Mus musculus: one gene and its partners. The protein of the gene in region 3 purifies or fractionates together with the protein of the main gene of each other region. This does not show direct contact. Links are inferred from orthologs where the notes say so. Each region holds a gene or a part of one and is shown on either strand. Other genes may lie near its edges.

What was found.
Region 1: the proteins of Ecd (region 3) and Prpf8 purify together in Homo sapiens (affinity purification with mass spectrometry; 7 studies listed by BioGRID and IntAct, counting the BioPlex papers as one, with this or other methods). This does not show direct contact. The link is inferred for Mus musculus from reciprocal best matches to the Homo sapiens genes ECD and PRPF8.
Region 2: the proteins of Ecd (region 3) and Tssc4 purify together in Homo sapiens (affinity purification with mass spectrometry; 3 studies listed by BioGRID and IntAct, counting the BioPlex papers as one, with this or other methods). This does not show direct contact. The link is inferred for Mus musculus from reciprocal best matches to the Homo sapiens genes ECD and TSSC4.
Region 4: the proteins of Ecd (region 3) and Eapp purify together in Homo sapiens (affinity purification with mass spectrometry; 3 studies listed by BioGRID and IntAct, counting the BioPlex papers as one, with this or other methods). This does not show direct contact. The link is inferred for Mus musculus from reciprocal best matches to the Homo sapiens genes ECD and EAPP.

Annotation. Positions count from the first base shown.
Region 1 is NC_000077.6:75,484,756-75,490,878, reverse strand, and holds the start of Prpf8 (pre-mRNA-processing-splicing factor 8), read right to left. Parts: upstream 4,103-6,123; 5' UTR 3,788-4,102; coding exon 3,688-3,787; intron 3,255-3,687; coding exon 3,086-3,254; intron 1,138-3,085; coding exon 973-1,137; intron 882-972; coding exon 663-881; intron 551-662; coding exon 338-550; intron 239-337; coding exon 113-238; intron 33-112; coding exon 1-32. UniProt on the Homo sapiens protein: Plays a role in pre-mRNA splicing as core component of precatalytic, catalytic and postcatalytic spliceosomal complexes, both of the predominant U2-type spliceosome and the minor U12-type spliceosome.
Region 2 is NC_000073.6:143,067,023-143,072,817, reverse strand, and holds Tssc4 (protein TSSC4), read right to left. Parts: upstream 3,451-5,795; 5' UTR 3,305-3,450; exon of another isoform or gene 3,184-3,304; coding exon of another isoform or gene 2,998-3,183; 5' UTR 2,968-2,997; intron 2,883-2,967; coding exon of another isoform or gene 2,862-2,882; coding exon 1,908-2,861; 3' UTR 1,731-1,907; downstream 1-1,730. Other genes in the region: Trpm5 (transient receptor potential cation channel subfamily M member 5), read left to right, coding at 21-87, 382-470; CD81 antigen, read right to left, coding at 5,444-5,506, 5,585-5,671. UniProt on the Homo sapiens protein: Protein associated with the U5 snRNP, during its maturation and its post-splicing recycling and which is required for spliceosomal tri-snRNP complex assembly in the nucleus.
Region 3 is NC_000080.6:20,322,665-20,328,287, forward strand, and holds part of Ecd (protein ecdysoneless homolog), read right to left. Parts: intron 4,628-5,623; coding exon 4,560-4,627; intron 1,918-4,559; coding exon 1,709-1,917; intron 1-1,708. UniProt on the Homo sapiens protein: Regulator of p53/TP53 stability and function. Inhibits MDM2-mediated degradation of p53/TP53 possibly by cooperating in part with TXNIP. May be involved transcriptional regulation. In vitro has intrinsic transactivation activity enhanced by EP300.
Region 4 is NC_000078.6:54,692,458-54,698,765, forward strand, and holds the start of Eapp (E2F-associated phosphoprotein), read right to left. Parts: upstream 3,438-6,308; 5' UTR 3,328-3,437; coding exon 3,254-3,327; exon of another isoform or gene 3,003-3,253; intron 500-3,002; coding exon 318-499; intron 1-317. UniProt on the Homo sapiens protein: May play an important role in the fine-tuning of both major E2F1 activities, the regulation of the cell-cycle and the induction of apoptosis. Promotes S-phase entry, and inhibits p14(ARP) expression.

The DNA of each region.
Region 1 (6,123 bases), on a different chromosome or scaffold from region 3:
TCTTGATGAACACAACGTTGGGAGTGTGGTACCTATAACAAAAAGAAGAGTCAGCCAACATTCTCGTGCTCTGGCCTTCTCCGTTCTAACTGCCATGCTGCAAGCGTCTTACCAGGTCAGGTGGACGTGGTGTGGAAGGTTGTTATACAGGTAAGGAAAAGCAATCTTGTACTCAGTACGAATAGGCTGACGGATGATGATCTTATTAATATCGTTAAATTCATTCCAGTCTTCATCCCTAGGACAGAAAGTCAAGTGAGTTGTCTAGTTCCACTGTTAGACAGGATCTTAAGATAAATATTAAATTTTAACACACACAAGGTGCCTCCCAACTTACTGTAAGTTGATGTCTCGAACAAGAGGCTCAAATTTGGGTCCCCCAGGAATGGCCATGTTGAGTGCCTTAGAGGTAAAAAAGGCCTTCAGATCAAAGAGATAGAAGTAGTTGTCATCTACAAGGTCAGTCAGAAGCTGATTGGCCAGTCGGTAGAGTGTGGACATCATAGGCAATGTGAACTGCCAGCGTTGGTAGGTGGAACCATTAACGTACCTAGGGAAAAGATGGAGGGCCCCCATCAAGTAGGTTTTGAGCCCAGTCGCTTACCTACTGCCTCCCCACAGCTCCTGTTTGCAGAACTCTCACAGAAATTAGTTCCACTCACTTCCTACTGTCTCTCAAAGGCTGGTGGTCATAGAACCAGTCCAACACAGGGGCATCCTCCTCTGGGTCCAGCTCTAGCTGAATGGCTTCCAGTGGCTCAACATCTAAGATGTTGTCGGCATAATCCAGGGGCGGTTCCTCGTCATCGAAAGGGGGGAAACGCATCCTCTTGAAATGCCTCCTGTCTCTTTTTTCTCTACGCATCATGATCCACATTGACCTAAAATGCAAGAGCATCATGTCCACTGATCTCAGCTGCAACACCCCACCCCAGCGCCCAACACCTCCCACCATACTCCAGCCCTTCTCACCCCCACTGGGAGATGTAAACCGGCTCGATAACCCAGGGAATCTCGTTAACAAAGGAGATGGCTCCAGTGATGTGGTACAGCACAGGCACGTCCCGGATCTGCTCCCAAGGCATGGGCATGTTCTCAAGGAGCTTGAGGACTGCATGAGGCATGTACTTAAGAGCTCTGCAACGAGGAGGAGAGACCATGAGAAAGAACTAAGGGTTCTGTTATCTGTCCCCTGCTGACAAGCCAGTTATCACGTGTTCCACACAAAATGCTGCCTTATACTCCAAAGTCCCAAATTAGGACTAAGGTCCTACACGATCACAAGTCCTGCCTCCTCATCTCCACCTTCATCTAATACCACTCTCCCTTTCAAATGTCTTGGTGCGGGACCCAGTCTGTAGAAACTAACACCCGTCCCTTTGAAAGCAACTTCCTTCTACCCTTCCTGTAAATTCCAATACCTTCCCTGTTCTATGTGGTAACCATTTGTCTCTCATCCATCATACCACTAAACTTATACTCCTAAAAAAAAAAAAAAAAAAAAAAAAAAAGGACCAATACGGTCTATTCACTGAAGACCAAAAGCAAGTTTCAATAATAACAGTAATAATGTTTATTGTTGTTTGTTTGAGACAGGGTCCCACCGTATAGCCCTGGCTGGCCTGAAACTCACTGTATAGAACAGAAGTCTCACCTATCTCTGTCTCCCATGCACAGAGACTAAATGCCTGTGCCACCACACGTGGCTTTGCTGTTTTTGATGGAGCATCTCACCAGGTAGTTCAAACTGGCCTCAAGCCCATGATTCTCCTGCCTCTGCAGCTAAGGGCAGAGATTACATGCAAACACTACCACGGCTGCTTAAGTTATTTTTGTTGTTGATGTTTTATTTTTTAGGACAGAGTTTCTCTGTCCAGCCTTATCAGTTATAGAACTCACTCTGTAAACCAGGCCATCCTCAAACTCAAAGTAATCAGACTCCCAAGTGCTGGGGTTACAGGCGTATGCTATTACCTTGCCCGGCAAGAAGTTGTTGTTATTGTTATTTCTTTTTTTTTTTTTTTTGCCGTCGTACTTTTATTCACATCATGTATTGTTATTTCTATTAATGGTTTTTTCAAGACAGAGTTTCTCTATATAGCTCTGGCTGTCTTGGAACTCACTCGGTAGACCAGGCTGGCCTTGAACTCTGAAATCAGCCTGCTTCTGCCTCTCGAGTGCTGGGATTCAAGGCGTGCACCACCACTGCCTGGCTAAGAAATTATTTTTTGGCTAAGAAATTATTTTTTGCAATAAAACTCTCAAGGTGGGGCTAGAAAGATGGCTCAGCAGTTAAGAGCACTGATTGCTCTTCCAAAGGTCCTGAGTTCAATTCCCAGCACCCACATGGTGGCTTACAACCATTTGTGATGGGATCTGATGCCCTCTTCTGGTGTGTCTGAAGACATCTACAGTACACTCATATAAATGAATTAAATAAATCTTTAAAAAGGAAAAAAAACAAAAACAAAACAAAACAAAAAAACTTCCAAGGCTTCCCCCACATCAATTAATTAACAGGCCAAATTTTTGTATCCAAATGGAATGTTAAGAATCTCTGCAGCTTGAGGTGGAAGAATTAACAGTAAAAGAGCGACCCCAGGAATGAACTATCCTAAACCTCTGAATGATAGTGACCAAAGAGGCATCCAGAATGCCTAGTGTCTTAATTTGAGCTTCAAACAGTTCCACAATACCAGACATTTTACAACAACACCAGCAGGGCAAAGCAAAACAATCAATGGCATAGGTAGACGATCTGGAAACTATCACAGAATCCCAGTGGTCCTAGCCTTACTCCTACAGTCATCCTATGTACAGCCTAGAGCCATGTTCCATGCTGGACACGGTGACATCTGCCTTCAATCCCAGCTCTTTGGAGGCAGAGGCATGGGGATCCCTATCGGTTAAAGGGCAGCCCGGTCTACAGAGCTAAATCCAGGGCAAAAATGCCCACACAGGGAAACTGTCTCAGTTAAAAAGTCACATTCCAAATGCTAGTCCCTCTATCCAGCACTGTCAATGAAGGGGCAGAGGAAGGAAAGAAGTCAAACTCCATATGATATTATCCTGGGATGTTACTCACCCCAAATAGACCCTTTTGTCATGACGGAACTTCCTGTTGGTCATGTCTCCATGGTCTCGAATGATCTTCCTGACATGTTCTGGTGGCATGTCTTCCTTCTGAGCATCCACAAACCCAAATTTCCGCTTCTCTGCATATCGCTTGGCCTGCAACTGCTGCCATTTTCGAGCTAGAAAAGCACCTCAGCTTAAAGGGCTGCACACATTTACCCTAATTATCCCTAACTCTTGCCCTGGGGCAACCCTCGGCATGCTGTGAAGAGAAATACTCACTGCCAAGTATCCTGCCATTTTACTACCCCAAACCACCTGATATTTTTGCTATAGATGTTTTGGGGAGGGTTGTTGTCTAATTCCTACATAGTAATGCAAACCCTATAAGGAAACAGGTTTTATCGTCATTGATGCATTTTACACACACACACGTACACAATAAGCTCCTGCAAAATAACAGGCACTTCCAAACTTTCAATGATTGGACTCAATTTTTAAAAATGTAAATACTGCTAATAAGCACACCCCTGATGACCTGCCTATGGAGGGAAGAAATGAAACCCGCCTACACGTTCGAGCCCGCGCACGCCGTTCCCGTTCGCCTCTCACCTTTCTCCTGCAGCTTCTCCTCTGACATATAATCCGGCAGCGGGGCTAGAGGGCCGGGCACCGGGTTACCCGGCCCTCGGTAAGGAAACACTCCGGCCATGCCGGGAGAATCTGGGATAGAGAGGCAGGCCAAAACTAATGAGCTAGGCCCGGGCCCACAAGGGGCAGATGGAACACGTCCGGAGCCCCCTGGCCTGCACTCTAGCCGGGCTGAGCGCTCGGGACCCGGGCCTGGCGCAGCTCCTCGGGCCGCTCGGCCCACTCGATTACCTTGCGCTCAGCCTCAGACGCCCACCACCCACCTGTCGCCCCTCACTCAGGTAGCGGCTAGGCTCGCAGAGCAATGGCGGAAAGACGACGTCCGCTCCGCGTTCCCAACTCCAGGAAGTGCGCAACCAGGCTCAGAAGCTCATCCAATAGACGCCGAGATGCTCTGATGGATTAGCGACATCTCCAATTGACGTTGCAGCCCGAGCCGGAGAGGCGGGTCTAAAAGCGGATTTCAGGGCGAGGGGTGTGGTCAGGGTAGGCTCACGCCCCGCCTTCTGCCAGTCAGTTTAGGAGCCCTCTCTAATAGATCTGACATTTAATTGGCTATTGATATTGTTCCTCAAAAGCCAAAGCCATACAATTTTAATAAGTTTGCGTACGTTGCACATTTCCCCTATATTTATTCTCATGAATTCAGAGCTGATATGTAGTACTAACTCCTACTCAATGAATCCTTTGTTCTTCTATTCCTTCATTACATTACTGTTAATAGTGGTAACTATGTACCAAAGAGTCAAATAACTCTTGGACCATCCAAGGCAGAAGGAAGGCTGGCAAAAATGTATGATGATCTGGGATGGGAATGTACTTCAGTTTGTACAGGAGGCCCTTGGTTCATTCCATTTCTGGCAATGCATAGACCTGTAGGATCTCAGCACTGGTGGGGGGTGGGGGGTGGGGGTGGAGGGGCGGGAGGTTAAAGGCAGAATAGTCATAAATTCAAAGTCTGGTCCTGGAAAGAGGACTAAACGATTAAGAGCTTTAGCTGTTCTTCTAGAGAACCTGGTGTGATCCCCAGCACATGGTGCCTCACGACTGTCCGAAACTCTGATTCTAGGGGGATCTGAAAACCCTCTTCTGCCCTCTGTAGATACAGAACACACATGGTGCACATACATACATGCAACCCAAACAACCCATATACATAAAATATTTTTTTTTCAAAAAGACATTCAAATTCTTCCTCGGCTATATAGTGTTTACCAAACCTCAAAAACAAAACAAAACAAAACAAAACAAAGAATCATTAATGTTTTGCCTTCATGTATGTCTGCCCACCACGGACATGCCTGGTACCCAGGGAGATTAAAAGAAGACATTAGCTCCCCTGGAATGGAGATAGGTATGATCTACCACTTGGGTGCTGGGAACCTGGGTCCCCTGCAAAAGCAGTAAATCTTTTTAACCCCTAAGCTGTCTCTCCCAACGCCTAAAGATTCTTGTAACACAGCATGATGAGCACTGGCAAGCATAGCATGGTAATCTGACTTCAGGGCGCCAGATTTTGAGCTTAATGCTTGATTATTAGAAGTAACGTACTAGATTTAATGCCTGGAGCTTCAAGCAACAAAATTAACTGAAGAATAAAAATAAAAACCCTGCCAGCCATGATGGTAATCCCAGAACTTGAGAGGCAGAGGCAGGTGATCTCTGTGTTTTCAAGGCCAGCCAAATCTACATAGCAAGTTCCAGTACAGCACAGCCAAGGATCTAGAGAGAGACTGTATCAAAACAAATAATCGTGCTTCTTTGGGAGATGGAAAGGAGATAACCTAGAAAACTTAGAAATGTCTCTGGGGAATTTCACTGGTAACGACCTTCTTCTCTCATTTCTCTTTCCTCTATCTGGCAACGATCACTCTAACGCATGCTATAGACAAGAAAAAAAAATGTTCTGTGTAAATCATAAACCAATAAAGACCTTAGAAGGAAGCTTAGGAAAAAATATAGGAGCAGGACTGAGGATGTAGCTGACTGTAGAGCATTTCCAAGTATTGCAAGGAGAGTCTATATTATAGCCTGACGAGGAAAGATGGATGAGAAGGATTTGACTGCAGCAAAAGATCAGAAACAAAGTAATTCCAGGTGGCCAGAACAGCTACAATACTTTTCTCTCCACAATGTTAAGAATTGAGCCCAGGGCTGGGCAGTGGTGGTGCACACCTTTAATCCCAGCACTTGGGAGGCAGAGGCAGGCAGATTTCTGAATTCCAGGCCAGCTACAAAGTGAGTTCCAGGACAGCCAGGGTATACAAAGAAACCCTGTCTTAAAAGAAAGAAAGAAAGAAAGAAAGAAAGAAAGAAAGAAAGAAAGAAAGAAAGAGAGAAAGAAAGAAAGAAAGAGAGAAAGAAAGAAAGAAAAGGAATTGAGCTCAGAACTTGACC
Region 2 (5,795 bases), on a different chromosome or scaffold from region 3:
CCTCCCTTGGCTCTCTCCAGGCCAACTACTGTATGCTCCTCTTGTCCTCTATGACGGATACACTGGCTCCAGGAGGCACCTACTCAAGTAAGTATGGGTTCAGGCCATGGGAATGAGATGGGTATGGGCTCCTCCCTTCAGCCACTAGATTAGGGCAAGAGCAAAGCTGCGGGCTGTGTATTGTATTAGGTCCTGCCTTCTCCACCTGTGCTAGAGGTCGGTTACCCTCGGCAGGCCACTGTTCCTTAGTGTCCCAAGGCTCTGCCTAGCACTGGCCTTGCTAGCCTTGCCACTTTCCATGTCCTGGCCCTTGCCTCACTCCTGCCCTGCCCCAGCTGAGGCTCTCCAGCTGAGGGTCCTTTCTCCCTTTCTTGCTCCCAGGCTCTCAGAACTGTGGTTGCAGGAGTCAGCCAGCCTCTGCTAGAGACAGGGAGTACCTAGAGTCTGGCTTGCCACCCTCTGACACCTGAAATGGAGAAACCACTTGCTCTAGAGCCCCAGACCTGGCCACATCGAGTTTTTGGGGCACATCAACCTTCCCCCACTCCCAGCAGCCCCAAGAAATGGTCTTCAAGGCCTTGCTACAGATCACTTCTTGGACATCCCTTCCTAAGAGAATGAAACTCATGTCTTTGGCATCTATTCGGGAGCCTCAGAAGTATCCTCTCCAGCAGGGCAAGATTTTTCATGTCCCACTAAAGCTTTCACTGGCTTGGACTGGACAGCTGGATCTGGCCAAGTCCTACATAGGACACCATCTGCCTGGATGGGGCTATTTAGGTCTAACCCCTGTCTTACCCTGAGTTCCTAAGAAGCCAACCTCTTAAACACTAGGTTTCTTTCTGACCCCTGACCCACTCATTAGCTGACCAGCTCCTAGAGGGCAGGACTCAGATCTATTGTAATTACCTCCCATCTTTCACCCCCCACAGCATTATCTGTCTGATCATTCTGGCAGAAACCCCAAGATATTGCTCAAGGGTACCCAATGCTACTTTACTTTCTATAAAGCCTGTAGACCACCTCAAATCAGCTAAACTGGGCCACAATGGTGGCTAAACGGGACATTTCAAACACCCGGGGAATATGGAGGATTGTCTGACCTAGTGAAAGGCATCTCCGTTCCTTCCACTGCTCCTCAAATTAAATGACCATCCAGGTCCTTTTTAGAGGAACTCAGAGAATGGGGACTACAGAGGCTGGGGCAGACCTGGGTCTTAGCAGGTCTAGCTAACTTGGTCCAAGTCCCTGGCCTCCACAGGAAACATTCGCTCATGCATCCTCCCTGCATCCTTCTCTTCTTCTCTGGCTCAGCTTCAGTGGAATGACCCAGCATCAGCTGTGTCTTACACACACAAGTCCTGGAGACACAGCCAGACACCAACCATATGCTGCTTCACAACTCATCCTCTTCCTATAACCTGTGGTCTGTACAGGCCCAGTGCTGGGGCTGCATTGGTTTCTGGGGGTGGGGGTGGGGGTGGGTTGTGCAGATTATGCTCATTCACTACCATCAGGGGCACAAGGCTGAACACAGCTAAGAGCCCAGTCCCTCTGGGTAGTTTCATCAGTGACAAATGTAAATGACCATGGCAAACCTTCACGGCAGTCCTCACTGGAGTGGGGAAGGCAAGGTGAGGCTGCCAGAGATGCAGTCCTGTAGTTGGCTGCCCAGGACTGTTTGGACAGAACTCTTTGAGTGGGGCCCGGAAAAAGCCACACAATTCAAGAAATATTCCAAACGTTTATTATTCATCCTAAACACTGGGGCACAAAGGCCTTCGAGGTCCCCTGACCCACAATTCCCACAGTCTCTGCCAGAGCGGCTGCACACATCCCCCTACCACAGACAGCCCACACCTTCCCACTTGGACTAGCAGGTGAGGGGTAGAGTGATAGCACTGCAGTCAAACTGAGGGTCCTCTCTCAGACCCCGGCCCCCCAGGGTTACCGTCCCTGTTCCGGAAGTGGTCTCTGCTCCGCTTCTTGCTGCCATGGAAACCAACAGCCTTCACACCTATGGGGCCTGATGAGGACTCAGGATGGGCAGCTTCTGAAGGTACCACCACCTCTGGCTGTCCCTGGTGGCCACTCCATTCCTCAGCCTCAGGTCCAGCGAGATGGGCTAGCTCCACAGCGGCCTCACCCCCCGCACCTGACCCAACCCCCTTCTTTAGGACCCTCTTCCTCTCAGCCCTAGCCTCACTGTCCCTCACTGGTTTGGTGAAGACCACTCTTCCCTCCCCACAGCTAGAGGGGTCCTGGTTGAAAGAAGGCACATAGTCTGTGTGGGACACCTGGCTTCGAGAGCTCAGGAAGGCCAGGGCAGCATCACGATTGCTCTGCTCACTGGCTTCAGACACATCCTCCAGACTGTATTTGGTCCAACGCTCAGGGTGTGACACATAGTCAGGGACTGGGAGTACCCTAGTCGGGCCAGTGTTCCCATGCACTCTGCTCAGGCCCCTTGCTGGAGTCTGACTTGGGGGAGTCACGGGCCGCCTGAAGCTGCCATTGTCACTCACACTGGTTTGGGGAGCAGAGCACGGTGCCTGCCGGGCTGCACTCTCCAGACAATCAAAGATGCTGTGGCTGCGCTGGGAGAAGGTAGAACTCATGCCTCGGAGGTGGAATGGCTGCACTGCAGTGGTGAGGGTGCCCGTGGGGGGCGATGGAGGGTCCTCAGGGCCGGAGTCCTCCTGGCCCTCCTCCGAAAGCCTCTCTGGGGACAACACTTGGACCTCCACACCACTAGGTAAGCTAAGGTCCGAGTCCGAGTCGCTGAGGGAGACGGTGTCAGAAGGCAGGGTGTCATCCTCGGTGGGTTCATCAGCCTCCAGGCCAGCCTCTGTCTCCGCCATACGACCTGACACCCGTCCCACCTGTAGCGAAGCAGTCCCAGTTCCGCCGTGAGGGGTGTATTTAAGGCCTCATCCCTCCCCGTCCTCCCAGGCTCCCGTCTTTCACCTCCACTATGTGTCAAGTGCCTCTACTCACAGCCGGACGGGAGGCCTCGCGAAGCTGGGTGGTTAAAGGGTATCCTAGCGCGCACAGATACAGGAGCTGCAGGTTAGGTGGGGTTAAGGAGAGAGTCAACCATGAGATCATAACAGTGTGGACATACAATAGATGAGCACTGGGAGATGCTGGTGACAGGAGATCTCCATCAGCTGCTTGTCCCATCACGGGCTCTCAGTAAAGCGCAGCCTCTCTAGGTACAAGCGCCACCCGGGTCCGGACGAAGGGCTGGCAGAAACAGGCACGGGAATGCCCTGGCCGCGGCCTTAGGGAGGCCAGTGCTCACCGTTCCAGCGTCCGTACACGCCTCAATACCCTGCCGCCTTTCTCGCAGCGTCCCGCCAGTTCCCCGGGATTCGGTCCTGTCCAGTCTCGCTCGGGTTCCTGGGAAACCGAGTCTCGGGCGATCAGATTTTCGTGGCTTCAGCGCCCGAGAAACTACAACTCCCAGAAGGCAATGGGTTCCCGCCTAATGTCAGCCGGGACTTGTAACCTTAACAAGCGTGCCAACCCGGAGCGCACACGGAAACCCACCCAGAAATGACGAAAAAGGAAAAGGCGGAGCCACGGTTCCCACAATACTCCAGGGCTAACTGCCAATCGCAAAGGGTTGAGGCCTGCAGCTTCGCCTGTCGGAAGCCGTCCCGGCCGGGTCCGACACAAGGAGGAAGTGCGTCACCACGCACTGTGAGCGCCAACCAGTTTCCTAGACATTTCCGGCCCTGGGCGGAAGTGGTGTGGGTCTTGTGCTTTGTTGGCTTTCTGGAGTGAGGCGGGGCCAAGGTCCTGGTTGGCTCTTGGCATGAAGAGACGTAGTGGTCCCTGGGGTGGGTTGGTTGGGGCTTCAGAGATTCGAAGCCGCTATCCTGGGCTCTGCCTGTCTGTGCTTCCTGACGCAGGAACGGACACTTTAGTTGCAGGACGCCGCCCCTACTAGTCAAGGCCACACATAATCCTCCTCCAGGCGTGGGGCTGTTTTCTTGTATCCTTAGGGATCAGAGTCTGAGACACCATGGGGCTGCTGCATGCGCCTCTCCTTTCCTATGTTTCTGAAGCTGTGCAGCAGGCCTCCAACAGCTTTGGCCTGGTGCCCATGGACCTCATAACATAGGATATAAAGGGCTCCTCAGACCAGAAACCAACCAAGCACGGAACAGGTTGCATAGGCGTGGGAGGTAGAGGTGGCGGAGACCTAGAATGTCCTAGTACAAGCTTGGGGTTCACCGACAAATAAGCCTACTGGGAGGCTGCTAGAAGCTGGGCCATGAATCTTGGCTAGGGCGTCTCTCCTCTAGTGGCCAATTAACTATGCCAGCAGCCTGGGGGAGGGGCGCAGACAGGAGACAAAGGGAAAGAGACAGTGGTGGTTGCCCCTGGCGTCCGGGAGGTTGCTTAGCCTGATCCTCAGTTCACAGGGGTAAGTGAACTGCCATCTTGCCTTTTACTTATTGAGACACAAGCCAGAGCCACCCAGCTCCGTGGAATCTTTTCTTGAGATGGATGGGGTAATGGGCTAACCTTTACTGTCTTGTCCCTGAAAAGGAGGGTGTTCTTGCAGCTTATCTCCATCATTCTGTGCTGAATTTCCCTGCTTAGGTGGCTCCTCCTACCCGACTCAGCCTGACCTGTCATGTCCAACAGATGAGTGGAAATGAGGTCAAGGCTGGCGTAAAGTCAGCATTGAGCTCCCAGTATAAGGAGGTACAAATGAGGGAGGACCCATATGGAGTGCTCCCAGGGTCCCAGCCCTCCCCACCCACTGTGTTCCACAGCCTCTATTGGACCTGCTCACCCTGTGCCTGGCAAAGTTCAGAGCTGATGAGCCAGGTCTCTGACACCGCTAGCACAGGAAGAGGTCTGGCAGTCCCATTAGCATGCCTGATTTTTTTCCTCCTTTATTAAATGACTGTTTCAAGATTTAATTACAGTTGAAGGTGACACGTTAGAAAGAATAAGTGCATTGAAGGCATAAGAGGGCTTACAAACCCAGCTCTTGAAATGGAGGCAGGAAAGGAACAAAGATTAAAAAGATGTGAGCAATGTGACCCACAGTGGGTTGAGTGGGTGGGCATGGCCCTCTAGCTAGGCTACAAAGCCTCTGGGCAAGTAGCTGTAGAGGAGGTTTGGCTCAGCAGGCAGAACTCTCCAGGGGTCCCAGACGTACAGGGCCCTGCAAGCCAGGGCCAGCTCCACCCCTACATCCCACATATGCCACCCATGTGTGATGTCAGCTCCCAAAAGGTAACAGGAAAAGTTCAGGACAAAAAAAAAAACTAAAACAAAAACAAAACAAAACAAAACAAAAAACTCAAAAGTAAAAAGACTAAGTGTAGCAGAGTGATACAGAAATATTATATACACAGGCCATGTCCCCCAAGGTGGCCTCTGGTCACTCCAGGGATCCTCTGGTGCAATGCAAAGGGCCTCAGTACACGGAGCTGTTCCGGATGCCACAGCACAGCACCATGCTCAGAATCATCTCAAAGATCTGCAGGAGGGAGGGGCATAGTCAGCACCTAAGGCCCTGGGAAGGATCCCACCCACCCACCAGAGACCCTGTGCTTACCATAATGACAGCTACCACAATGGCTGCAATTCCAATGAGGTACAGCTTCCCAGAGAAGAGCTCATCGATTTTCTGATGACAATCTTGCTGCAGGGATGGCAAGAGCGTGGTTAACCATCAGTGGCTAAGTCACAGCCACCACCCTACTCAGTGACAGGACCTATGTATCACAGCTTATCTTCCACCCCAAAACAAATTTAAGACACACGGA
Region 3 (5,623 bases):
GTGTACAGTCGCTACATACATGATTATTCAAACGTTAGAGGTCAATTTGGGGAAGTTGGTTCTCTCCTACTATGTGGATTCCAGGAATTGAACCCAGGTGGTCAAGCCTGAGAACAAGCACCCAGACGTGCTAAGTTATCACTCCAGCCCCTCTTCAGACACACTCATAACAGCATACACATACACCACACACAACACACACACACTACAGAGAAACAAAAGAAGAAAAGATCCATTTATAATGGCAGTAGTGGTAATAACCACATGCTAATTTGAGTACATAATGATTCTTTACTTAAATCTACATAAAGAATCTAACTACGGGGGCTGAGGGGTGGCTGAACCACACTGCTACTCTGCTCTAAGGGAGTCAGTAGCTTTTCTCACCTCAGCACATGCACAGCGATTGATTCCCAGAACCCTCTTAGCAACTTACGACTGATGTAATTCCGGTTCCATCTATAACTTCAGTCCTGGAAAATCTGATGCTCTCTACTGGCCTCCAAGGGCACCAAGCATATACATGGTGCACAGACATACATGTATACAAAACACCCATAGATATATTTTTAAAGATTAAATATTCTGGGGTTTTTTGGTAAGATGCATTTATTTTATGTGTATGAATGTTTTGCGGGCAAGGCTCTATGTGCACCGAGGGTATGCCTTCAGAGATGAGAAGAGTATGTCAGGTCCCCTGGAACTGGAGCTGTGAGCTGCCCTGCTGAACCCAGGCCCCCTGCAGGAGCAGCAAGTGCTCACTCTCCAGTCTCCTCTCCCCTTGAAGAATATAATTAACCAGGCCCATGTCTGCAGTCCCAGCTACTCCGGAGGCTGAGATAGGAGGATCACTTGAGCCCAAGAGTTTAAAACCACTTTGGGCAAACTCACTACAGTGAAGGAAAGGTAGGAGCAGGACAGAGAAGGGGAAGAAGAGGGGGAAGCAGTCATTACGTCTGTATTTAGAAAACCAAGTTTATAATCTTTTTCTTTTCAGTGGTGAGGACTCAACCGAAGGCTCTGTGCATATCAGACATCTGCTCTACCACTGAGCTACGCTCTTAGCACCTGCCCTTCCTTCACAGACTCAATATGTGGTCCCATAGGTGTCAAACTCTTGGGTTCAATTGATCCTCCCCTCTCAGCCTCGTCGGCAGCTCTGAACTACAGGCACATGTCATTCATTGCACTTGGCCTCTATCATCTTTCATTACATCAGTGCTAAGGGAAAACTGGCACTCTTGGGGTTGGGAGTATCGCTTAGTGAAGTCTATGTGCTTAGCATGCACCCCACGTTAAAAAGAAAGGAGTCACTGTCAGATCGTATAAGGGCTTCTGAATATAGTTCTTAATGATTCATTTTTAATATTTTATGCTCTTTTACTATGCTTAACTCCCAAAGAATATTTTGTGTGTTTTGAAACAATTTAGTATTTAACATTAGATATAGGATTCTCAGTTATGGATAGCATTAAATATTCATTAATGATATATTTAGGGTATGAAAGGATATGAATGTGAAAGGATATGAATATAAAAGTTGAACAAATTTTTATATATATTATTTGATTCTCAAAATATTCACTATTATTAATATGTTTTATGCATAAAATGCATTTAAATAATAAAAAAACTAAGAAAGGAAAACTGAGATGACTGTGACTCACTTTCCTGCCCACTCAGAGACGGAGAGCTTAAGAAGCCTTACCAATCGCTCCCGCGTGGTGAAGCTTCTGCCCATGCTGGTGTGTGCCAGTTCCTGGTCCATCCGGGCCATGTAGGACTTGAGGCTGCCAAGGGCTCCTTTCAGAGACTCAGACTCCTGAGCCTCAAAGCCCACGTCATCATCACTGTCTACACCTTCCACGTCCTCCTCACCCGGGTCATCCTCAGAGTCTGACTCCTGAGGCTTTGCTCCTAGTCACCGAGACACAGAAGAACACTTGGTGAATTGTCCAAGCAGGGTTGTACCTCTCAAAAGGACTGGAATGTCACACCAGGGCCAAATGACTTAATCCAACTACTTTGTAAAAATCCTTTCCCAAGCTGGGCAGTGGTGGTGCACGCCTTTGATCCCAGCACTTGGGAGACAGAGGCAGGCAGATCTCTGAGTTCAAGGCCAGCCTGGTCTACAGAGTGAGTTCCAGGACAGCCAGGGCTACACAGAGAAACCCTGTCTCAAGAAAAATTAAAAAACAAAAACTTTCCCAAAACAGTAATTCAGGGACAATTATAGAATGGAGAACAGGCTGAGCCAAGAGATTCAATTTTAGTTTTTCAATAAGAATTTGACTAATTAAAAGTTTTTTTTCTTAAAAAGATGAAAAGCTGGGCTGTTGAGATAGCTCCCAAGGACAGGTGCTTTCAGTGCAACCTGGCGACCCAAAGGTGGAAGGAGAAAAATACTCCACGAAGTTGTCCTCTGATCTTTATAACCATGTTGTTACACATACACCTCCACAGTAATATATATACACACACACACACACACATACACACACACCAACAACAATAAAACACCATTTCCTTTTTTATTTAAACAGGAGGCTAGGAGTAGAACCTGAGAAGCAGGTATGAGGCCCTGGGTTGCTCCAAAAAATATAAAAAATGCAAATAAAAGTCTAGGAGCTGGAGAGATGGCTCAGAGGTTAAGAGACTTGCTGTCTTGCAGAGAGCCTGGTTTTGGTTCCCAGCACCCACACAGTGAATCACAAATGTCTGGAACTCCAGCTCTAGAGTATCCAACACCCCTGTGGCCATCTCGGGACCAGGCACACACATTGTGTACATAAATATACACAGACAATACTCATACATAAAATAAATCTTTTAAAAATACAAATACACAATTAAAAAATTAGAAAATTACATAAATATACATTGATGTCAACATTCAACTGCCCAGAGACACTGTGTCCTGCTCACTGATTTCTCTGAGTCATCCTTCAAAGCTCGGCTGCTGTCTAATGTCAGATGGAGCAGCTACAGCTCTGTGTTCAGGCACATGCAAATACAGTTTTCTTTCAGTAAAAGATTTATTTATTTATTTATTTATTTATTTATTGACAGGGTTTCTCTGTGTAGTCCTGGCTGTCCTGGAACTCACTTTGTAGACCAGGCTGGCCTCGAACTCAGAAATTCGCCTGCCTCTGCCTCTCAAGTGCTGGGATTAAAGGCGTGCGCCACCATGCCCAGCTTTCAGTAAAAGATTTATTTTCATTTGTGTGTGTATATGCTTATGCCCGTGTGTGCAGAAACGTGCATGGGCCAGAAGAGGGTCTGGATTCCATAGACCTGGAGTTATAGGAGGTTGTGAGCAGCCTAACTTGATTTCTCAGAACCAAACTCCAGTCCCTTGAAAGACCAGTAAGCCAGTCCCATGGTTTTCTTTCTTAACCTAGATGTCCTCACAGTGCACTATGGTATGCTTTTCTATATACCATGTCCTGTAGGCCTTCTTCTTGCAGACTACACAGGTGACTTCATACTTTATTATTTACCCATTTCTCTCTTGGTGGTCATTAGAGTTTGGGTACGACAACAAAAGCACTGCAGTGGCCATCAGTGACCATTTATCGTTCACAGAGCAAACCCCTGAAGTGAAATTGCTAAGTGAAAAACGATGGGCTTCCTAGAGTCCCAAACTGTCCTGTGAAACGACAACTTATACTTCTTCCTGCAGAGTTTGATGATAAAAAGAGCTGATTGTTAATTTTTTCAATAAGGTAAGAAAAAAATCCAGCTTTTATTTTGCTTGCTTACTAGGAAGAGCTGACATTTTCAGACGTTTACTGTTACTCTCCAGTGTGCAGCCTAGTCACACCATGTTTTTGTTTTGTGTGTGTATACATGTGTGTATTTTTGTTTGTTTGTTTGTTTGTTTTTTGTTTTTTTTGAGACAGGGTTTCTCTGTATAGCTCTGGCTGTCCTGGAACTCACTCTGTAGACCAGGCTGGCCTCGAACTCAGAAATCCACCTGCCTCTGCCTCCCGAGTGCTGGGATTAAAGGCGAGTGCCACCACACTCGGCTAAACGTGTACATTTTGACACACAGCCTCTCCACTGGACCTGGAGCTCAGCAGCGGCTGGAGGGATCGGCCTATCTGTTTCTGTCCCTTCAGTCCTGGAACCAGGGCCTATCCATCTGTGCCTGGCTTTTCACGAGTGGGCCAGGGATCTGTGCTCAGGCCTCACTCTCCTATGCAGCATGCACATCACTACCTGAGCACCTCCCCAGCCCTGTGCTGGTGGCTTCTCTCACTGCTTTCTAAAACGTTGTCTGAAAAAAAAAAAGCCAAAGATGTAATATGGAAGCCACACTAGAACCCTTTCAAAACAGCAAAGGTGCATGCCTGCAGTCAGTGAGCAGCTAGCAAGCCAAGCACTAATCAGGCTGCCTCGGTAGAGTGCTTCAACAGGGCAGGACTTTACAGTTTCAAACAACTTGAATCCTTTAGGAGAACGTAGTATCTTGGCTCATAAATGTCCTAATGTCCCAGTCCTCCAGCAACAATGATAGCCCTTCACAGTTTCAAAGTAAACACCACACTGTAACTCACCTAAAATCTTATCAAAATAATTCAGAAAAGAATCTGCATCAAAAGTGATTGGAGCTTCCGAAGGGTCTCTGAAAGATGAAAGGGAAAAGGGCATGACATTTCTCCTGACCACAGCTCTTTGAGGTATTTTTGAAGATGGTGCTATGCTTATAGAAAGTACCAGAAATATCCAAGAAAAGACAAATTTTAGTTTAAATAAATAGGAAAAATTCCTTGTGCTCATTAACCTTGAGTGACAATAGAAATACAAAAACCTGGTGACAGAAAAGTAAAAATGTACCTTTTACATACACCTAAGCTATGCATCTGGTGGCCCCTACGAGATACACAGTGAGAGGGACGAGTTATCTGAGATCATTAACACAACACTTTTTTTTTTATATATGTGTACCCTGTAGCTGTCTCCAGACACACCAGAAGAGGGCACCAGATCTCATTATGGATGGTTGTGAGTCACCATGTGGTTGCTGGGAATTGAACTCAGGACCTCTGGAAGAGCAGTCAGTGCTCTTAACCGCTGAGCCATCTCTCCAGCCCCCTATTCTTTCTTTCTTAACAACAAACATTGTCCAGGACCACCCACACTGAGCAAGGCTCACTGGGCTGGGGAGGAGCTCACCAGGATGGACTTGTTAGTGTGCAGAGCCTCCAGGTCAGTGCCATTACCACCAAAGAGAAAAGAACAGAGACCTGCTGTTCCCATAGCGATCTGCCTACCCTGTCCCCAGTGACTCGACACAAACAAGCTCCGGGACTCCTCCCTCCTCTGATGGGCTCCTTAAACCCCTCTCTCTGAGTTTCAAGACTCCAATATGCTTGTATGGTAGGAGATCAGAGGCTTGAGTTTATTGAGAGCTACATGCCATGAGTCTACAGATTCTGAATTAGAGTCTACAGAAGTGGAGCACGGAGAGTAATCAATAGAAACGGAGAAGCGGTAGAAGAAGAAGAGGAGGAGGAGAAGGAGGAGGAGGAGGAGTCGTTTGGCATGGGAGCCCACAACTTTAATACAAGTACTGTAGAGGCAGAGGCACGTTGATACTTACAATTTCAAGGCTAGCCTG
Region 4 (6,308 bases), on a different chromosome or scaffold from region 3:
CCATCTGTAATGGGATCTGATGCCCTCTTCTGGTGTGTCTGAAGAAAGCTACAGTGTACTGTACATATACATAAAATAAATCTTTTTTAAAAAAATGTAAAAGATATCTAAGTGGTAGAACAACTTGCCTAGCAAACACAAGACCCAGGTTTAACCCCCAGCACCGCCCCCCCACACACACACTCACACACACACACATACACACACACACACATATACACACACAGAGTAATTCTTCAGCACCTACACAAAGTTCTAGAGACACAAAAGAACACAACCCTTTACAGGATATCTATGAGAACTAAGCCCAAGCTGACCTGTTCCCAGTGAGGATAACTGGTCCTCCATTGTCTTCATGGTGGAGTTTAGTTCAGCCTCCATTTCTTTTTCAAATTCATCTTCACTTGATGACTCACTTTCTCCAGTAAGACATTCCCGGATGAGTTTTCGCTTTTGGTCTGGGGTTCCATGTAAAAGCACATCCAGTTCATCTTCAGAACTAGCACACATTTAAAGCACAGAGGATATGAGTATTAAAATCAGGGCCTAGGTGTGGCTCAGAGGTATAGCACTTACATACATTGCATGAGCAAAGCCCTCAGTCTGAGGTATAGCACCACAAAACAAAGCAAAATTACTTAAAACTTCTATCATCATCTTACTGCTTGTGATGGTTTGTGTATGCTTGGCCCAGGGAGTGGCACTATTAGGAGGTGTGGCCTTGTTGGAGTAGGTGTGTCACTGTGAGCATAGGCTTTAAGAACCTCATCCTATTCTTTAGTCTGTGCCCACAGGAGAGCATGCTGTCGGGCTGCTCCTATTAAAGTTGCGTGTGAGTTTTCCAAAACAAAAAAACAAAAAACCAAAAAAACAAAACAAACAAACAAAAAAAAACCTCATCCTAGCTGCCTGGAAGTCAGTAGTCTGCTAGTAGCCTTCAGATGAAGATGTAGAACTCTCAGCTCCTGCCTGCCTGGATGCTGCCATGTTCCTACCTTGATGATAATGGACTAAACCTCTGAACCTGTAAGCCAGTCCCAATTAAATGCTGTCCTTATAAGAAGAGCTGCCTTGGTCATGGTGTCTGTTCACAGCAGTAAAACCCTAAGACACTGCTCAATGGCAATTATAAGTTTTAAAAGCTTGCATGGGATATACCTAGCACATTACACATAGATTATGCTCATTAATAGGCAAGAGATGAGCTAATCCTTCCTAGTTTCAGTTTTGGCTTTGGGTTTCTTTTTTGTTCTGGGGACAGAGTTTTACTATATAGCTCTGGTTAACCTGAAATTTGCTATATAGAGCAAGCCTCAAACCTGCAACAATCCTGCCTCTGCTCCCTGACCGCTGAGCTGCAGACATGAGCCACAAGTATAACCTGATCTCTTTCTCCTTGTATGCACATAGGCGTTCTACTTGTACGTGTATCTATATATCAGTTGTATTGCCTGATGCTCTCAGAGGCCAGAAAGGGCACTGGATCCCCCAGAGTTACAGTGAGATGGTGTGAGCTGCCCTGTGAGATCTGGGAACCTAATCCAGGTGTTCTGCCAGGACAGCCAATGCTCTTAACCACTGAGCCATCTTTCCAGCTTTCCTTTTGGCTTCTCGTATTATCACACTGCTTTCCAATACCATTATACCAATTCATTAACTAATTCTATTAAACTAAAAAAAAAAAAAAACTTTCTTCAAAGAACTGAGTTTTATTTAAATAAAACCAATATAATTATATACAATTAATATCCCAACATAAAATATTTAATAGGAATTAAATACTATAATTTAATTTAAAAGACGTGGAAAACTATGCTACAGCAAACTGTGAATAGAGAGAACTATGCACACTGACTATTCTTCCTGGAGCTGGAAACTGAACCCAGCATTTCATGCACCTGTTCTACCGTTGAGCTACATCATAGCCCTAAGAAAATTACAGTACATTCCAAATTCTAACTAACTTCTGTCATCGTAGACTGACTTCTGTGATTAGTTTCCTATCAACAGAATTATAATAAATGTACATCAATAATAGGAAGAAATAAAACAACAAAAATGAATTAAGTCAGGGCCAGCAAGATAACTCAGCAGCAGACAAAGGGCTTGTCACCAAGCCTCATGACCTGAGTTCAATTTCTGGGACCCACATGGAAGGAGACAAGTTGTAGATTAAGACGCGGAGAAAAAAGCCAGGCGTGAGCTGGGCGTGGTGGCGCAAGCCTTTAATCCCAGCACTCGGGAGGCAGAGGCAGGTGGATTTCTGAGTTCGAGGCCAGCCTGGTCTACAAAGTGAGTTCCAGGACAGCCAGGGCTATAGAGAAACCCTGTCTCAAAAAAAACAAAACAAAAAAAAAAAAAAAAAAAAAAAAACTGCGGGAAAAAGAACAACAAAGCAAAAGCCAGCTGCAAGAAATGCCTTGGACATTTTTTTCTTGTTTTAAGACAAAATCTTACGTAGCCCAGAACCAGCTTTGAACTCTTCACCCTCTGGCCTCCTAAATGATGGGATTATAGGCATACACTACCATGTCTGACTTAATTCATTTAACTTTTAAATTACAGTTTTAAAAATGTTGTGTATAGCCGGGCATGGTGGCGCATGCCTTTGGTCCCAGCACTTGGGGGGCAGAGGCAGGCGGATTTCTGAGTTCGAGGCCAGCCTGCTCTACAGAGTGAGTTCCAGGACAGCCAGGCTATACAGAGAAACCCTGTCTCGAAAAACAAAAGAAAGAAAGAAAGGAAGAAAGGAAGGAAGAAAGAAAGAAAAATGTTGTGTATATGGGCATATGGGTGCTATGGCATGCGTGTGGAGATCATAACTTAAAAAAAAAAAAAAAGCCCATTCCTTTTTTTTTTTTTTTCCATTCTCTATTCCCTAGTTTCTACTTGACAGTCTTCAAGATAAGTACTTCGTGCTAAGGGCCAGGCCCTCACTAGCTTAGGACACTGTCCCATACTTGTATTTCCATTTACAGATGCGAGGCCGAGAACTGACTTGCCTTCGGTCACAGTGCTAGTAAACGGTAAACAGGGTTCCATCTAAGGCTTCACGCCTGGGGGCCCACGTAATTCCGGAACATCCCTCTTCCCGCACTGCTGTCCATCCTGGTTCCCTAGAGACTGAGCAGCGCCATCAAGCGCCCCGAGGCTCCCGCAAGTGAAGCGGACGACACTGCGCCCAGGGACGGCCGGCGCGAACAACACAACGGCCTCAGCCAAGGCAGGGCGGAGACGCGGGGCAGCGGCCCACCTGCTCAGAGCCGGCTCCTCGTCGCTCGGCTCTTCCACCGCGTACGGGTCATAGTCATCCTGGAGTCGGTTCATGGCGACCTGAGGACGCCTACACCGCCCCGGCGTCTGTGTACTCCGCCAGCGCCTTCCCCAAAGCTTCCCGGAGACTCCACTTCCGCCCGTACTGCGAGTCCTTCCTGTGCGCCTGCGCAAGCCGTCCAGTGACAAGGATGCAAGAGACGGGGCGTGCGGAGGGTCAATGTTAACACGTCTCTACGTTTTCTTTTCCGCTGAAAATAGCAGTTGTCTTTGTGCATTTTTCTTCTCGCCGCCGCCGCCGCCGCCACCTCCTCCTCCTCCTCCTCTTAACTTAAGCTTTATTTAGGTTTTGAAAAGGTCTCACTAACCCAGTCTAACCTGTAACCAGTTATGTAGCCCAGGCTGGCTTCGCTCTGCTTACCGTGACCTGCGGAGAGCTGAGATTACAGTTGTATATCACTATCCAGTCAGATTTATTTCTTCAAAGTTGTTATCTTAGCCCTTCTCTCATGGTTTTTATTAGGTTTATTGGCTGTGTGCAAGTAAATAATGTATAATAGACCTACTCAGAAAAACACCACGGAAAAACGATTTTTCTTTTACTAGTTAAACTTAACAAGGGTGGATCTCTTAGAATCCTGTCCTCCGCTAGCAGAAACTGAATTGAGCTAAAAAAAACTTTTTCTTTGCCCAGAGCCTGGGCAGAAGCTTAGGTTTTGAATTCCAGATTCGATTGCCCACTACCAACAAACCCCGCCCCCGCCTCACAGCCTTAGTGGGCGGAGTCGCGTTGAGGGGCCTACAGACGAGTTCCCGCGGCGTCACCACAAAGGCGTGGAATATGTAGATGAGAATTTCACGCAAAGGCTACCGGTTCTCCCTAAATAGACATTTTTTTCCGTTATTGATAATATTTACATAATATAAGCGTATATTTATGGATCAAGGTTAGAAAAGAGAATATAATGTAGAGAAGACGCATTGAGGAAGAGACCGTAGTTATAAAGTAAGTATACAATGATGGAGAGCCTGCACACGGCACTCGCAACTCATACTTACCTGGCAGGGGAGATACCATGATCACGAAGGTGGTTTTCCCAGGGCGAGGCTCATCCATTGCACTCCGGATGTGCTGACCCCTGCGATTTCCCCAAATGCGGGAAACTCGACTGCATAATTTGTGGTAGTGGGGGACTGCGTTCGCGCTCTCCCCTGGCATTTTTGTTGAAAAAATAGAAAACATTTACTTTAGCATTGCGAAAGACTTGCTTTCTACCTGGTGTTTTAGTTTTTTTTTTTTTTTTTTTTTTAAAGATTTATTTATTTATTATATATAAGTACACTGTAGCTGTCTTCAGACACTCCAGAAGAGGGCATCAGATCTCATTACGGGTGGTTGTGAGCCTGGTTGCTGGGATTTGAACTTCGGACCTTCGGAAGAGCAGTCGGGTGCTCTTACCCACTGAGCCATCTCACCAGCCCTAGGTTTATTTTTGAATGATGTGTAAGGTAATTGTCAGTTGAAATAAGTTTTACTATCTCAGTTAGCACCAACAACTTGTTTTCTTTTTTTTCTGGTGTTTTCAAGACAGGGTTTCTCTGTCCTCGAACTCACTTTGTAAAAAGGTCAGATACTAACTGTTTAGGTGAAGCAAACCCAAAAGGTGTTGTATTTGCTAAGCTTTATGTAAACATGACACTAACTTCATGAAAACTTTGAGAAGATTCATATTGGGAAGTTGGACATCTTAATCTGTACAGGATGGAAAGGCTCATTGTGGGCGGTACTACCCCTGGGCCGGCACTCCTGCCTGCTAAGGTATGAGGGACTAGTAAAGTAAGCAACATGCCTCCACAACCTTTTCTTCAGTATTTGCTACATCCTGTTTCTGCCTTGAAATAAACCCTTTCTGTTCTGAAATAAACCCTTCCTCCCCAAGTTAGTTGATTTTGATCCTGGACCAGAAACCATAAGACAGGCATCATTTGTTGCGACCCAATTAATTTCATTAGGTTTGTCTGTATGAAATTTAATGTAATCTGGGAGGTGAGGGGTCTCCCCTCTAATATGTACTGTTATTTTGCTACATTATCATGTTGCCACGATGCCTTCTAAATATTTATATTTATACTCAAGGATTTGTGTTGCTTTCAATTGTCCGGTTGAAAAACTGCCAAGCGTTTTTCTGCAGCACATTAGTGTAGAGGTTTCTGAGGAGATCCACAACTGGTCAAAATGCAAAGAATAAGGAACAGGGCTCAACTGCAGGTGAATGGTCTATATCTGCTCCCACCCGAGATTCTGGGAACTCGGGAGAGGCCAGTCTTCTGTGAGAACTGTCTAGACAGGACCCAGCTGCTGCATGCATCACCTCACTGAAGCTGTGGTTACCAGCACAACGAGGTTGCAGGGATAGCTCAGTGGCTAAGAACACTTGCAGAAGACCAGATTTTCCTTCCCAGCACTGAGTGGGGCAGCTCATCTGCCTGTAACTCCAGTTCCAGAGGCAGAGCAAGGATATTGCCCAAGACCTTGGTAAATAGAGAGAAATCAAGGAAGATGCGCTATCTCAACCTGTAACTTTTTCCCACATTCAAACACACACACATGCGCTCATACATGTAAACATACATGCACACCGCACATATCTACATGCTTTTTGCTTTTTCGGGTTTATTTTTGGGGTGGGGGTTGTTTTGGGTTTTGTCCTCCTGGAACTTACTATGTAGATCAGCTAGCTTTGAACTCACAGAGATCTGCTTGCTTCTGTCTCGGGCCCAGTCCAAAATAAATTTTAAATTGGTGTGTGTGCGCGCTTGCAAGTGTGCCTGCCTGCCTGCCTGATCCCCTGGAGCTATAGTTATAGGCACTTGTGTAATGCCTGACATAAGTGCTGGGAACCAAAGTTGGACCCTCTACAAAAGAATCTAGTACTCTTTTTTAAAAATATTTATTTATTTTATGTATGTGAGTACATGGTAGCTGTCTTCAGACGCACCAGAAGAGGTCCCATTACAGATGGGACCCATTGGAT